Tamandua tetradactyla: one gene and its partner. The protein of the gene in region 2 interacts with the protein of the main gene of each other region in a pairwise test. Links are inferred from orthologs where the notes say so. Each region holds a gene or a part of one and is shown on either strand. Other genes may lie near its edges.

Region 1 (8,228 bases), on a different chromosome or scaffold from region 2:
TGGTATCCATAAGATGCAAACCTCTTAATTGTTTAAACCAAATAATTAAACCACCTTGTAAAAATGTAGCCACCAAACCCAGCCATCCTACCCCTTTTCTGTTCATTTACTCAACTCCATCCAACTACTGAAATGTATGAATTCTAGTTTGTAACAAATGATCAACTTCATATGCTCACTTTTGTCCTTTATCTCTATTATAACTCAAGGGACATTCCTAAAATAAATATGGGTCATAAAAAGATTTGACCTAATAATACAGGCAACAATTTAATCATTATACGAAAACAAGGTTATTTCCTGGGATCAGAGTTAATCATATAATATCCAAAGACAGCTACTACATGGAAAACTTTGATGTTTTGTCCTAACCAGAGACATTATACTACTCATTTTGCCTACAGTGAAGACCAGTATTAGAGTTCAGTCTAGTTCTTGTTCCTATAAAGTGCGACAATATGTAAAACATTCTTGGACTACACCAGAACTGATAAAGCAACATGAAATAATTGTTCAAGACTGTCAACTCAAGAATGAAGACACAGACACACAGAATTCTCAATTAGTTCCAGAGCCATACTCATGGACTATCACATCTACTCCTCAGGGCCTTTTTCAAACTTCTAATTACATTCTTTATCACAATACCAGTTCTGCAGGTTTATGTGAACAATTTACTAAGTGAAGTGAAATCAAGGCAAACCTGATGGAAAGAACAGAGGCTTCAGGGTCAAAAGATCTGGGTGTGAATCCAGACTTTGCCCCTCAGGAGTATTTACCTTTCTTAGCTTAAGTTTCCTCGTAGGTAAAAATAGGACAAGACCACCAAGATCAAGCACCTCAGTTACTGTTCAGAGTATGGCAGATGCTAATAAAAGATGATATTCGTAAATTACTAAAGCCAGTTCACAAATTATTAAGAAGTATCTCATTATGGAAATCACAGCCATTAAAGCCGTCAATCTTTTCTTTGGCCTTTTCAATCTTTGATTTAAAAAATAAGATATTTTAAATATATACAACTGAAAAACTTAAAGAGGTTAAAAATCTCTTTTTAGAACTGCCATTTTACAAATCAAAGACAAAGTCTCAACAATTAACAGTTAAATGGTTAATTTTTTAAAATTTTAAGGGTGCTTGCTTTCATTCAAACTTCACATGGTCAAAACCTTTAGAACTTCATGAAGAAAGCTATACTTTAGAACACAGATAGAGCCCAGTTGTCTAAACAATGAGCTACATGATACACCACAGACTCCAGGCAAAGTCACAACAGGATGAGAAAAGAGCCTCCAGCCTCTCTCAGATTTCCTGGCCACTGTTATTTTAAAACTTGATCACATAAACATAAACAGGGAAAAATTCCATTTCAGATAAGTCCCAAAGGTTATGATTTAACTACTGTGGAAAGTTTATATATGAACTGTTTGTAATACCTTGCATTAATTTACATTCAACATTGCAATAGCTCACTATAATTTTCGTGCTCGTGTTTCTAGGACTAATGAGAAATAGATGTTACATATATCATTTTATATTACATATGACATAGCATTTTGAATCATGATCTCTTTTTAGAGTCTTTAATAACTTTGATTACTGTCTTATAAAATTAATTTTTAATAACAAAAAATTTAACTTAAAAAGCTGACAAAATAATAAACAGCATGTCAAATAAGAGCATACAAATGTAAGAGCAAATCTGCATAAGATTAAAATGACCTCTTTCTCACTCTACATGTAATTCCTGGGCAACTGAAAATACTCAAAATAAGCTGTATATTAAAAGTCAGTGAGCTATTTTGAATGGCTGCATTGTTTCAAGTTTAGCTACAGCCTACTTTTTAACATTTGTGATGTTTCTAAAATTAAGGATAAAGACAGTAAAGTAATTTCACTGAACAATTTTCAACTAGAAAACTACAACCCAAGACATCTATGAAGTTCAGTTAATTTGTACAGAAATGCTACCTTGCTGCCAACCTTTGTACCATGTTCACTATCAACCCAAGTTCAAGAACCACATTTTATGGCATGAGGATAGTTTCTGCTAAACCTTAAGAATATTAATTTTTAAAATCTCTCAAACCCTGACTGTATTTAGATATACTGAATTTACAACATCAGAGCATAACAGCAAACCAAACAAAGGATTAAGTTTGGTCAGTGTTGCTATTTCCCCACTAATATTTGTAGATTAGCATTTACGCATCCCACCACCACCACCACATATTTTATGCCAAATAAAATGTAACATGTTTTCTGAAGCCGTATAAAAATTTCTGACACGGACGTTCGAGTAATAATTTCATCAAATTACTTCCCATTTAAAATTAAAATCCCAGCATCCTGAGCATCTTGGAGTTTTGGAAATTAAGAAATATAAAAAGCTCTTGTTCAGTCCCATGTACGAAAATTAACAAATTCAAGGTACTGAACCATCTAAAGACTGAAAAAAATACAGCTTCAGAAAGTCCCAGTCTCGTCTCCTACATAATAGAAGCTGATTTTCACGTCCAAGAACAGACAGCATTCTGCCTGCACTGAATTTTAAGTTTACCCCCTAAAAAAGAATCTAGCCAAGTATCCAAGTCAGAGATGTACATCTGAGTGTTCTACCTCTGCCTGGGAGCCAAAGATGAAACACAAAAGTATCTTGGTGATGATAAACCCATGAAAGAAGTATCTTATTGTCTTTCTGTGGAAAGGACAGCCACCTCTGATATCACTGCAAGTCGCCGCAGTCCCGGCACAGCCGCCAGCCCGACCCACCCATCACCTGCTTCGCCCACCTGCGTCCTCGGAAGGTGAAATGAGCCGTCGGTCGCGGGGAGGCCCGAGGAGGCCCCAAAGCAGAGCCGGGAGAAACGAGGTCCCGACGTTTCCGCCCCACCCCCCCAACCGAGACTCCTGCAAACTCACCCGCACGGGTGCGGAGGCAGGTGTGCGGCGGCGGGGTTACCTGTCGCCGGTGAAGCTGGAGGGCGGGAATAAAAGGTGACTAGGGTGGGGGAGGAGGACGGTGACGCGGACGAGCGCTGCGACAGCGCGGCAGCAGCCGGGCTCCTGCTTGCTTCCTGCTGGGACAGATCTCGGATCCGTCTCCGCCCGCGGCCGGCGCCCCACCGAGTCCCCAGCCCGCGCCGCGCACGTCATCGCGACGGAGCGCCCGAAGGGGCGGGGGCGCCGCGGGCCCCGGCCAGCCGAGCGGGGACGCCTCCCGGGAGGGGGCGCTTGGGTCCCAAGCCCGCGCCACCCCGCCCCTCCGCGCACGGCGCCTATCCTCGGGGATTCGGAGAGGGGTGTTCCAGTGCCGCGCGGGGCTACTTGTGGCCGAGCCTAGAGCCTCGTTTCTCTCCCCGAGAAACGTTCATTGTTTCTTTTCCCAAGGAATGTCTGTCCCCTCCGGACTAGATACGGTGACACGCAGTCCGTATCTTGTAGTCTGAGTACAAGAATATGCTCAAGCCGAAGAGAAAGGAGCTGTTCAGAGAGGAGTTGAGGAGCGCAGGGTGCGCGGCCGGCAAGGACTACGCACTGCGCGAGGGCCCCGGGCCCAGGTGTCCGCGCCCGGGCCCGCGGCAGCGCGTCTCTCTTGTGGGAGAGGAAAGAACGACTACGAACGTGCCTCCATTCCCGCTTTGCTTGAGCTGGGCTGCCCAATGAAGGTAGTGACCTTCTTTCCAAACAAACTCGGTTTTATGCTTTTACTGCGGAAGGGTCTGAGATGGAAAGTTTGCATATCTTTTCCCACCCACTCCCACCCCAGCACTTAACTCTTTAGAGCCTGGAGCTTCTCTGTCGTTAGATTTTTACTGTTTCATAAGTGATGTATTTGTGAATCATATTTTAAAATCAAATATGAAAGTAGCTATGCAAATTTTAGTTATATAATGAAAATATCACCTTTAAGATGGAAAGAAGCTTCTTTTAAGAAAATGGAAGGATTATTGACTATAATGCTAAATGTTTAGCTGAAAAAAGCTAGAGCATATACACAGGGAATTATAACTTTTTTCCCCACATTGCCAAGTCTCAACTTAAGGAAATTCTGGAAATTCAGAAGAGACAAGCTTCAGGTATCTAGATACTCCTCAGTTCTCTTGATGGGAAAGCTGTTATGACTAAAACAACTTTTTTAACACTAAAATAGGGAAGTAAGAGAGAGGAAGAGAAACCAAGAAAGGAAATAATTTACCACAATCTCAGAAATTCAATTACATATTACCGGGAGGTAAATCTTAATTGTATAAAACTGGATTTCAAAAGAATTTGAAAGAAGAAAAAGAAGCAAATAAAGATCCCTGTGTTTCACTTCAGTTCTGTGACCTCATTTTTAAAAAATATTTCTTGGGATATTATCACACACATACAGTCCACCCATAGTGTACAATCAGTGGCTCACAATATCATCACGTAGTTGTGTATTAATCACCATGATCATTTTTAAATCATTTGCGTCACTCCAGGAAAATCAATAAAAAGTAAAAACTCAGTGATGATGTTAAGAATTACTGATTGCATATGTAGAATGGTATGATTTCTAAATGTTGGGTTAATTTCTTTTTTTCCGTTAATTAATAAAAAAATAAAAATAAATTAAAAAAAGTAAAAACTCATACATCCCGTACTTCTTTACCCCTCCCTTTTAGTGACCACTAGTATTTCAGTCTACCCAATTTTTTAATCCCTTATCCTCTCCCCTATTTATTTTTTGTCCCTATATTTTCACATCTGTCCATACCTTGGCTAAAAGGAGCATCAGACACAGGTTTTCACAATCACACAGCCCCATTGTAATAGCTACATAGTTATACAATCATCTTCAAGGATTAAGGCTCCTAGAATACAATTCAACAGTTTCAGGTACTTCCCTCCAGCCACTCCAATACACCATAAACCAAAAAGGAATATCTATATAATACATAAGAATACCTCCAGGATAACCTTTAGACTCTGAAATCTCTCAGCCACTAAAACTTTATTTTGTCTCAATTCTCTCTACCCCTTTTGCTCAAGAAGACTCTCTCAATTCCATGTTGTGGATCTTGGCTTATCCCTGGGAGTCAGGTCCAATGTTGCCTGGGAGATTTTTACCCCTGGGAGTCATGTCCCATGCGGAGTGGTAGGCGGTCAGTTCACCTGCCAAGTTTGCTTGGAGAGAGAGTCCACATCTGAGCAACAAAAGATATTCTCTGGGGGTGACTCTTAGGCATAATTATCAGTAGGCTTATCTTCTCCTTTACAGGAATAAGTTTCATAGGGGCAAACCCCAAGATCGAGGGCTCCGCCTGTTGAATTGGTTGTTCCCACTGTTTGCGAGAATATCAGAAGTTCCCCAGATAAGGAAGTTGAATATTTCTTCCTTCCCCCCCATCTATTCTCCCAAGGGGACTTTGAAAATACTTTTTTATTATCTGTCCAGATTTCTCTGGGATGTATCAGGGTATCACACTAACCTGTACAAACCAACAAGATCTCCTGCCCCATTCAAGATTCTCTGTAATTATGGTGTTCAAGTAAACTGACCATACAAGTTAAGTTAGATAATGAGCTACCTAAAATATAAATTTTGTGCCAAATAAACATCACTTCCTTTGGTGAGACCTCATTTTGGATTGAGGATAAAAGGCCTTGGCAGACCAATAGAAAATGATACAACTGACAATTCTTCATGATTAACCAATTTTGGGACCAAAACCTGGGACTTCTCTCCCTCTTTGCCCTCATTTCCAATCAATTATTGAGTCCCTTTCTTTCTAGTTCCATATTATTTCTCGTGTACCCAATTTCTCTTCAAAGACACAACCATTACCTAAATTTCAGGCTATGTTTTAGTTTCTTTGGCTGCTCAAGCAAATAATGCAGTGGTTCAGGAGAAACCAGGAAAATTAACACAGGCCACCATCACATCACAGGTGTTGCCAACTGCCTTGCCCACCTAACCAGTTTCCCAGACTGCAATCTTGTCCCTTTCCAATCCAATCTCCTCGACATCATCAGATTTATCTTTTATAAAATGAAAATTCTATTATCTAGGCATCTATTTAATGTCTTATAATGACACTCTACTGATAAAGTCCAAACTACTTTAGATGGTTTATAAGACCCTTTTTGATTTAGCTTTTGATTAGCTAGAATGGTGAATAGTCTTTTCTTCTAATTTTTTTTTTAATTTTTTTATTAATCAAAAAAAAGAAAAGAAATTAACACAACATTTAGAAATCATTCCATTCTACAAATGCACTCAGTAATTCTTAGTATCATCACATAGATGTATGATCATCATTTCTTAGTACATTTGCATCGATTTAGGAAAAGAACTAGCAAAACAGCAGAAAAAGATATAGAATGTTAATATAGAGAAGAGAATTAAAATAATAATACTAATTATATATATATATATATATATATATATAAAAGGAAAAAGAAAAAAAACAAAAACAAAAGATAGGTCTTTCATAAGAGTTGGGAAATTTTCAGTGATAATTTCTTCCATTAGTTTTTCTCCTCCTTTTCCCTTCTCTTCTCCTTCTGGGACACCCACAACACGTATATTTGTGCGCTTCATATTGTCATTCAGTTCCCTGATCCCCTGCTCAAGTTTTTCCATTCTTTTCCCGATAGTTTCTGTTTCTTTTTGGAATTCAGATGTTCCATCCTCCAGTTCACTAATTGTAGCTTCTGTCTCTTTAGATCTACCATTGTAGGTATCCATTGTTTTTTCCATTTTTTCTTCTTTGTCCTTCACTCCCATAAGTTCTGTGATTTGTTTTTTCAGATTTTCTATTTCTTCTTTTTGTTCAGCCCATGTCTTCTTCATGTCCTCCCTCAATTTATTGATTTGGTTTTTGAAGAGTTTTTCCATTTCTGTTCGTATATTCAGCATTAGTTGTCTCAGCTCCTGTATCTCATTTGAACTATTGGTTTGTTCCTTTGACTGGGCCATATCTTCAATTTTCCGAGCGTCATCCATTATTTTCTGCTGGTGTCTGGGCATTTGATCAGATTTCCCTGGGTGTGGGACCCAGCTGGTTGAAAGGTTTTTCTGTGAAATCTCTGGGCTCTGTTTTTCTTTTCCTGCCCAGTAGGTGGCGCTCGTGGCGCTCGTCTGTCTGCACGGCAGTCGGCCAGGGAAACCGCGCGTGGAGGCGGGGGTCGCTGGCCGCCGCGGCTTGGGAGAGTGCCGGTCCTAATTGCCCAGCTGGCCCGAAATGCCAAGCATGACGGGAGGGCCCCGCTATCCAACGTTTCCAGTCAGACCGGGGAGCCACGTGCGTGGAGGGGACCCCAGTCGCCAGCCACCCCGGCCGGGAAAACGTGCGCCCCTCGGGCATCTCACCGCAGCAGATTCTCCCTGCCCGTTCAGCTGTTCCAGAATGGGGTACGCTGTCTTTTTGGTCTCTGTCGTGACTCCGGGAGCTGTTTGGTATTGTTTCTGTTTCTTTAGTTGCTTTTCTGGAGGAGGAACTAAGACCCGCACGTCTTACTAAGCCGCCATCTTCTCCGGAAGTCTCTTTTCTTCTAATTGAATGTGGATGCCTTGCCATTGGCTTTGTAGATCCCACAGAGCTGTCCTACACCAATCAGACTTCTTCACACAGTACCTGCTTGTCTTTGGAGTCACTTGATTTTGGATTACTATCCTAACCCCACTTACCTGTTCAATCTCATTTCTAGCGTCTGCCTTTCCCCATATGTTGTTTGTTACATTCAAGCTATTCTGAAGTGCCTGCATGTCCCAGCAGAACAGACAGCTATGCTATATATTGCATTGGAACATTGCCCAGCTAAGTCAATTAATCCTTCAGAAGAAAGCACGTGTCCCCCTACCCTCACCCCAAGAAGTTTTCCCTAAACCCTCTTATTCCAAAACCTAGTAGCAATTTGGTGCTCTTTCCCGTCACTCTGATAGCACCCTTTGCAAACAGCTCTTCCAATACTTATTTCACTATGTTACTTCACTTTACTTGTGACCATCCACCAACTGGACAGTAAGCTTCTTGAGGGGAGGGTAGAAGATTTGTCTGTCTTCGTGTCTCTAGTGCCAAGCTGAGTTACTCTGACAGAGTAAGCACTTATTGAACAGTGCCTACCATTATTATTACTACTGACTGAATGGGACAGATGAATGAACAACTAGTAAGAAAGCTGACAATTCTAAGAAACTGCATATACTCCTGTCATTTAATCGTGGTGCTTTTGTGTTGTTTGCTCCCAAAACTCAA
Region 2 (8,192 bases):
TGCTTCTTTCCTTTAAAAATATTTTTCAAAATACAAGTCTTTTGCTTAATCTAAAACTAGAGCCCCAGTTTCACACACTGCCATTTAATCAGTAGCTGAGTTCCATTGGCTTCACAGACTTCCATGAGGTCCTTTATCTGGAACTGCTAAAAGCTTCCTCTGTACTTGGTGACCTAATATGTGGCAGAACAATAGAAGTGGGTTTCCTTGTCTAACCACTATCTTATTATTAATTACAAACTACGAGCTTATAGGAATGCCTTCACATACATACACAAGTCAAATCTTTATTTCAAGTCCCTGAAACTTGAGAATCCTACAAAAGACTTAGAAATGTTTTCTACGAGATGATCCCATAACTACAATCTGAAGAAAAGAATTTAACTGTAATCTTAGTTTGGTAATTTAGCTGTGTGTGAAAGTGAACTTTCTCCCTTTATGTAAGCTTCCTCCTGTGACCCAACAAGGCCTTAGTTTACATAAAAACCAGGGTCCTAGCAGAAAAACAGAGTCTCAAGAAAAGAGGGTCCCAGACAAGCCATGAGGGCATCTCAGAACAATAAAGAGAGGTTCCAAAAATATGTTCAACCAAGAAATGCCTTGTTGCCTCATGAGTGAGTGTAAATCCACAGGTTTACATAGCTGCGTTATGACTGAATGTGTAAATATCTTCATCAGCCTCCAAACCTACAAATGATTTTGGATGACAAAGATATCATAAACTTAAGTTTTCTTTTCAGCCTTAAATTTGACAAGCATACTTCTTCTGAAGCACCATTATTAACCAGTTTGAACCTTATGTAAAAATGATAAAGGAGGCAAAAGACCCCAGGCAATGGGTCTATCCTTACTTGGAAATGGATAGCCCCATCTTTGTATGAAGTACAGGCCCCTAGATAATCAAAAGTTTGTTGGTTACGTTTTCAACATTTAACTGCTCTTTTATCTACTACATATATTCAAGAGGGGTTCTCCTTTCTTAACAAGTGAGCTCACTTATCAGGATTGGTCTAACATATCCTGTTCAAGAGCCCAGGAATAATAATCACTTTTGGATGGAAAGACAAACCTCCAAATCAATTCAATTCGGTGTATCTTTTCCACAGACTTTAACTCTAGGCATCTATCATCCATATGCGACACATCTAATCACACACCTTCAAAGGATCAGAATACAAAGGGAAAATCGGCAAAAGTTGCTATAAATTACCAAATGTACTTCATGCTATATGTCAAGATTTGATATTTTTATCTATGGATTAATTTTTTATTGTTTTGTTCTACAATGCCAACAAAATTTAGTTTTTTTATGATTCATAAAAAAAGTAAAAGAATGGTATAAAAAATGTGTAAGAAGTTGATAGGCAGACACAATTCAATAAGTCCTACAAAGGATAGATTTTTCAGAATTCGAAAAATTGATTAATATATTATCTGGAAACTTCCTTAATACCCTTCACATAAATACTCTTTATCTACTAATCTAGTCTAGAGTTTATTTTCAATTTCAATATCAATTTCATTATCTTCCATACATACAGACTTTCATAGCTTCCCAGGTACTTTCTCCTACCTGGGCTGGACTTTACAAATATTTGATCTAAGGCAGTGGCAAAAATTTAGAGCTACATTGTGCAGTGATAACATTTAGTATTCACTAGTAAGGACACTCAATGACATACCTAGAATAGCTTTGAGCAAGAGTAATTATATATAGATTTCATCACAAATCTGTCTGAAAAATAAGACTTTACTGGAAACAGCACTTCCACATTCTGCACGTATCCAATTAACATTATTCTAAAATAACTCTTGATCCCAAGAGTATTCCTAAACACTTAAAAGACTGAAGTGACAAAGTAGAAAAACCACACAACTAGGGTAATCTAAAGACCTGGGTTTTAGGTGTGGCTCCGTCTACAATTTTAGCGGTGTCACCTTGGGTAGGTCATTTGACTCTGTAGACCTCAGTATCTTCAACTGCAAAACGAAGAGACTGGATTAAATTTCCTTTAAGGTTTCTTCTAACTCTAAAATCCTGAGTCCATTAAGTGTCAGTGTATCCCCTTTTCAACGACAAGCAGCAGATGGTAATGGCAAAGTAACCTAGATTTTCCTTTTTAAAAATATTATCTAACTTGGCTTAGCATGCTTTCTTAGGTCGAAATGTGAGTCAGGAAAATAAACCCCAAATGAAAAGGACGTTGAGAAAATGGGGAGAGAAAAAAAAATCGCACACTTACATAGCTAAAATAGTAACTTAAATCACCCTTGCACGAGTTTGTCTAATAGTTATTCAAAGGCTGCTACTCTAATCACCGGCTTCCTAAAATAGAAATATTTACAGTTGAGCTGTTTCCTTCTTATCCCCGGAGACTCGTTTCGAATAAAAAGCATAGCGTCTAAAATCAATTTACAACTTTTGAACAAGTTGCAGGGAGCGAAACTCCGGGCTCTCCAAGTCATTTGCACTTAAGTGTGATTTGGGCTAAGAAATGGTTCTTATTATAAGATGTGAGAAATGCACAGGAGGCAGGTGACATCTGGAAAGGGAAGCAAAACGCCAGCAAGAGAGACGGAGGCTGAAGGGCCTGTAGGCAACAGGTCCAGAGCCGGTACCGCAGCTTCCTCCGGGAGGGGTCGGTCGCTGCCACCCCACCCCCAGGCCCAAAGGCATCGCCTCGCCCCCGCCTCGGCCCTCCAGAGGCAGCCCGCCCCCCAACCCACGCCCCTGCACCAGAAATCTCCCTGATCGCTCCCCGGCCTCCCGCCCCCTCAGGCCCTCGGATCCCGCGACGCGGAGGCCTGCCGCCCTGCTCCTCGGCCACCCCAGTCTCAGCGGCCCCGCAGCCCTGTCCCCGCCGCGGGCCCGCTCACCTGCACCTGTTTGCGGAAGTGGCGCGGCCCCGGCACTGCCGGCGGCCAGAAGCAGCAACAGCGGCGGCAGCAGCAACGCCAGCGGCCCCGGCATCTCGCCCGCGCCGCGGCCTCGGGACCGGTTCTCGGATTGCCTTCCGACCGTCCGACCGTCAATCGGTCCGTCAGTCAATCGGTCCTACCTCCCTCAGCTGCCTCAGCAGCACCCGCGCGGGAGGCTCCGGTGCACACGTTGTTTCGCCCAAACCTCAGCCCGGCTCCTGGTCCGCGCCCACCGCTCGGGCCACAGAAACCTCATCCTTCCCGCCCGCCCGCGTCGCCGCCGCCGCCTCTCAACAGCAGCAACGGCAGCAGCCCTGCGGAGCGGCGGGCCGGGTCAGCCGCGATGCCGTCGCCATGATGGGCTGCGTCATGTGACGTAGAGCGCGGGCGGGATGCCGTGAGAGATGGCCCCGTCAGCCAATCGTCAGTTCCGCAGCGGCCTGGGAAGCCCCGCCCATCACCCCGACGGTTGGAGGGGTGGCCGCCGGGGCGCCCCCTGCAGACCGAGCGGTGAGTGGGCAGCAGGTAATTCCGACAATTATTTTAAATTTAAAAATGCAGAAAAGTATAAAGGAGGCAATAAAAAACATCTATACTCCATCCTGAATTTTTTTCTAAGATTTTATAACGTACCTATAATGGAACTGTCTTGGGCTCATCCCCTTACATTGACCTACACATGCTATCAGCCAAAGAACTTTGGGCTTTTTATTTCAGTTCAGTAAAAACGGAATGCCTCTCCTCTGGTCACCCACTGATTCAGCTCCTTAGCTCAAGTTGTTCCCTCTGCCAAGAATGCCCTTCCTGTCCTCTCTTGTCCACCTGGCAGACACCTTCAAGACTCACCTGATGGAAGGCAACATTCAAGAAGGCCCCTCCCGAATCGGCGGGAGAAGCGACTCCGCCTCCTTTCTGCTATCTGAGCTCCCAGAGAGTATTGTTCTGTCACTGTAAGCTCCCCGAGGGCAGGAACTGTGCCCAGCTCAACTGGGGGTCCCTAGGGTCTGACACAGGGCCTGGCATAGTTTAGGCGTTCTCTAAAGGAATGGAGCCTAGTCCTGACACAGGGAGGTGCGTCAGCTTCCAGGTGCAGCCCTTTGCCCACCAAAAAGGTGAGGAGAGGCCACGGTCCTGCAGAAAAGGTAGAGAAAGCACATTCCAGGCAGAAATAACATAGTGGTCAAAGGCCTGCGGTCGGAAAAATGCTGGGCTTTCCTGGAGAAAACACTTGTGGTTCAGTGGGGCTGTGCACAAGAGGGAATGGTTGAATCTTATCAGACAGGACTTGACCATTGATTGCAAGCAGGGTAACCTCCCCAACTCTCCAAACTCCCCAAATGCCCATCCTCAGTGCCGGCTTTCTAAGGTGTTAACCCAGCGCTGGACACACGCTTAATGCCGAGGGAACAGCTGTTGAATGATTAAGGCAAGCCAATAAACAGCTAAGTAAACAAATGGCTGGAATGTGAAATACTGAGTTAAAGTTGTCCATGGCTGAGTGCTGGGAAAAACAAGGAAGGCAAAAATCTTCAAAAGACACACAATCACCCTGTTATGCTTCTACTTCTATCAGGAAGCTGCAGACTCTGAGTCTGAGGAAGCCAGGGTGTGCTCATGCCATGTTCTGGGAAGAGATTCTGGTTATTTGCAGCTGCGTTGGCCCCAACAAATGCCCTGCCTCATAAACCTTGTGGTTGTTAATTATAATTTAGGTGCAGCCCAACAGCACATCAGACTACAACCCCAAAGTGGGCTTTGTTATTATTTGGTCAAGTCCAGAAGTAAAAAAAGAACTTACTTTTTCACTTCACAGAACAGGGGTTAAGGTACATATTCCTCAGAGCGTGTCTAATAGAAAGAAGTCTTTAACCAACTAGCTACCTCATCACTCAAACTTTTGCTCAATCCTTTTCTTGAAGAGTTCTAGTTAGAGAATTTATTTAAAAAAAACCTCTTTGCTTTATTTCGTTTCACCTAAGAGCCAGAAACAACCCTTGCCACAATTTGGGATTAGATCTCTAAGATTGGAAGCAATATCTTTCAGTGTTCCTACAGCAGTTCTCACATGTGATCAGCCTTTTCCAAAATTTCTGCCATGCCAAACCATCACTTGAAACACCCACCCTACATGCGGTATCTATCCTCTCAGCAAGCTCTGTTGAAGGCGGGATACTGAGGGACCTGGAATCATTTTAGTTCTGGAAGAGATTTCACATATTGAGGTCTGGGGCCCAGTGACCACTCTAAAGGTTTGCAGAGCTGAGCTAGATCAAATGGGCACGTCCACCAGGCTCCTGTCAGTGGTGGTTTGGAACCAGCTTGTACCAGCTTGTGAAAGCCAATTGTTAAATATTCAGGAATTTTGCATGCCATTGTTAAGAATTTAGTTATATACCCCTACACTTAAGTAAATGACATTTTAAAAAAGGTAATAAGTAACAAATATATCACACTTATGCAAGGTGTTAATAATAGGGTAGTATAGGGAAACCCTGTATTTTACGTGTGGTTTATTTTCGGTAAGCCCACAACTTCTTTAAAAATCTTTTCTTAAAAAAGATAATGAGGTGGTACAAGGGTAATTCAGTGGTAGAGTTCTCACCTCCTATGCGGGAGACCTGGGTTTAGTTCCCAGCCCATACACTTCCCAAACAAACAAACAAGCAAACAAACAAATGAAAAACCAAACAAACAAAAATTCAGCAAATGGTGCTGTGATAAGGGGATACTTACATGGAAAAAGAATGAAATGTGACCCCCACCATACAGCATACAAAAAAATAATAATAATAATGAAGAGAAGCCCTTCTAGAATGGAGGAGTAAGGGCCACAGCAAAAGCAATGAGGACACACCAGAATTGTCAAAATCAACTTTTTCAGAACTCTGGAAACTAACAAAAAGTTTGCAACACAAGAAGCATTTATTCAAGAAAAATGGCTGAATCTCAGTAAGAACAGCAAGTGGTGTAGCACTTAACTTGCCCTATTCTCATTCTTCTCTGCCCGCCTCCATGGCAGCTTTGAAAAACCACAGCCTAGCAGTCAACTGAAGGGGACATGTGCCAGTTTGAAAATATTATGAACCCCAGAAAAGCCATGGTTTAATCCTGATCCAATTTTGTGAGGCCAGACCTATTGTTTAGGGTGGGAAACTTTGATTGGATTGCTTCTGTGGAGATATGACAACCAAGTTGTGGGCGTGACCTTTTGATTAGATTACTTCCCTGGAGATGTGGCCCTGCCCATTCAAGGTGGGCCTTGATTAGTTTATTGGAGTCCCTTAAAAGGGGAAACATTTTGGAGAAAACTGAGAGCTGACACAGTCAAAGACACAGGCATCTGAAGATGCTTGGAGAACAAAAGTGACAGAGCAACACAAGACCCAGACGTTTGGAGATGCAGAAAGAAAATGCCCCCAGGGAAACTGTTTGAAACCAGAAGTCAAAGACCCCAGCAGACACCAGCCACGTGCCTTCCCAGCTGTAAGGGGTGTTCTGGAGCCATCAGCCTTTCTTGAGTCAAGGTATCTTTATCTGGATGCCTTGGTTTAGACATTTTTATGGCCATAAACTGTAAACTTGCAACTTAATAAATTTCCTTTATAAAAGCCATTCCATTTCTGATGTGTTGCATTCTGGCAGCTTTATCAAACCAAACAGGACAGAGCAGGGTTGAAACTCACCTAAGAGTTTTATCCCCAGAGGACTGGCCTATTTGACTTTTCTGACAGTTCCCTGGAAAAGTACCATTTTCAGGGCTTATCTGACTTGAGACTAACCCAGAGCTACCTCAACACAACAGCCCTGTCCCCAGTTTGTCAAAAATAGTCAGTGGCAATTGTTCAACATTGCAGCTGCCTCAGCTGCTGTTATCAGTTGACTGATGAAAAACTTAAAAGAAAAATCTGGGGATTGTGATGTCAGTAGGTGGCTCTGAAAAACATATTACCGGAAATCAAGAAAGCCATCTGTATGTGTAGGGGCTGTGCATTTGCCCAGGAAAAAAATTCGAAGGGTCTAATTTCTCATCTCTGACTAACCTTGAGGCTCTGGGAAAATAGGGAATAAAGGCTGAGACATAATTTTCAAATGCCTTAGGATTGAAGGCATGTCTGAACACATAGCCCCTCAGTAAAGCCTGGGAGACTTATTGGTTTGAGACATCTAAGGAAATCTTTATCCAATCATTAGCTGACTACTAAGCTAACTGAATAGAGACGTTAGTGGCCACACAACAAAGAAAACAGACTTCACAGAATTAGTCAGGAAAGTCACTAAACAAATAGCAGTAGCAGTAACAACAAACAGCAACAATAAACCTTTGGTTAGTAACAAGGGAGAGATATATTTCCAGAGTATCCACATTACATGATTTTAAATGTCCAGTTTTCAACAAAAAGAATTACAAGAGGCGGACCGAAAACCTGCCGCCGTTTTAGGGCGGGATGGCGGAACCCTCCGCCCTCACGACGACAGGGCCACACCTAATCCCGCCCTCGGCGCGCCTTGGCCTCCTGCTACTGTACAGCCTAGGCACACAAGTAATTTGAAGCGGATTTTCTCTTTGCAAAGGGGTAAAAGTTGGTGCCTGACTGAAGGATATGCCCAACCATGGAGAAGGTGGCGCAAATAATAAATTGCATGCAATTCACAAATATCCCAATGAGAGGACTAGTGAGCAAAAGTCTTCATAACAGCAGAAACACAAATAAAAGGCATTTCTTACCATCTGTGGAAATTTTCCTGTAATTCCTTTTTTCTTACTCCAGTATTAAGAATTAATACCAAATTTAAAAGATATGAATGAATATCCTAAAAAAAGAAAAAGGAAGACTTTTCACCCTTCTCGTTATTCAGATTCCTCTGGAATAAGCAGAATTGCAGATGGATTCAGTGGAATTTTTTCTGATCATTGTTATAGTGTCTGTTCTATGAGACAGCCAGACTTAAAATATTTTGACAACAAAGATGATGATTCTGATACGGAGGCATCAAATGACTTGCCAAAATTTACAGATGGAATCAAAGCCATAAACAGAAATCAGAGCTACCTGGTTCCCAGTCCTGTTCTTAGAATTCTAGACCACAATTCCTTTTCCACAGAAAAATCTGCAGATATTGAAATATGTGATGAAGAGTGTGACTCTCCTGAATCAGTCAATCAACAAACGCAAGAGGAGAGTCCTGTAGAAGTTCATACTGCCGAAGATGTTCCGATTGTTGCAGAAGTGCATGCAATTTCTGAGGATTATGATATAGAGACAGAGAACAAT

What was found.
Region 1: the proteins of LMTK2 (region 2) and MYO6 interact in a two-hybrid assay, tested with the Homo sapiens proteins (2 studies listed by BioGRID). The link is inferred for Tamandua tetradactyla from reciprocal best matches to the Homo sapiens genes LMTK2 and MYO6.

Annotation. Positions count from the first base shown.
Region 1 is NC_135331.1:131,995,691-132,003,918, reverse strand, and holds the start of MYO6 (unconventional myosin-VI), read right to left. Parts: upstream 3,134-8,228; 5' UTR 2,963-3,133; exon of another isoform or gene 2,923-2,962; intron 2,917-2,922; exon of another isoform or gene 2,793-2,916; intron 1-2,792. UniProt on the Homo sapiens protein: Myosins are actin-based motor molecules with ATPase activity. Unconventional myosins serve in intracellular movements. Myosin 6 is a reverse-direction motor protein that moves towards the minus-end of actin filaments.
Region 2 is NC_135349.1:6,212,269-6,220,460, reverse strand, and holds the start of LMTK2 (serine/threonine-protein kinase LMTK2), read right to left. Parts: upstream 3,253-8,192; 5' UTR 2,972-3,252; coding exon 2,878-2,971; intron 1-2,877. UniProt on the Homo sapiens protein: Phosphorylates PPP1C, phosphorylase b and CFTR.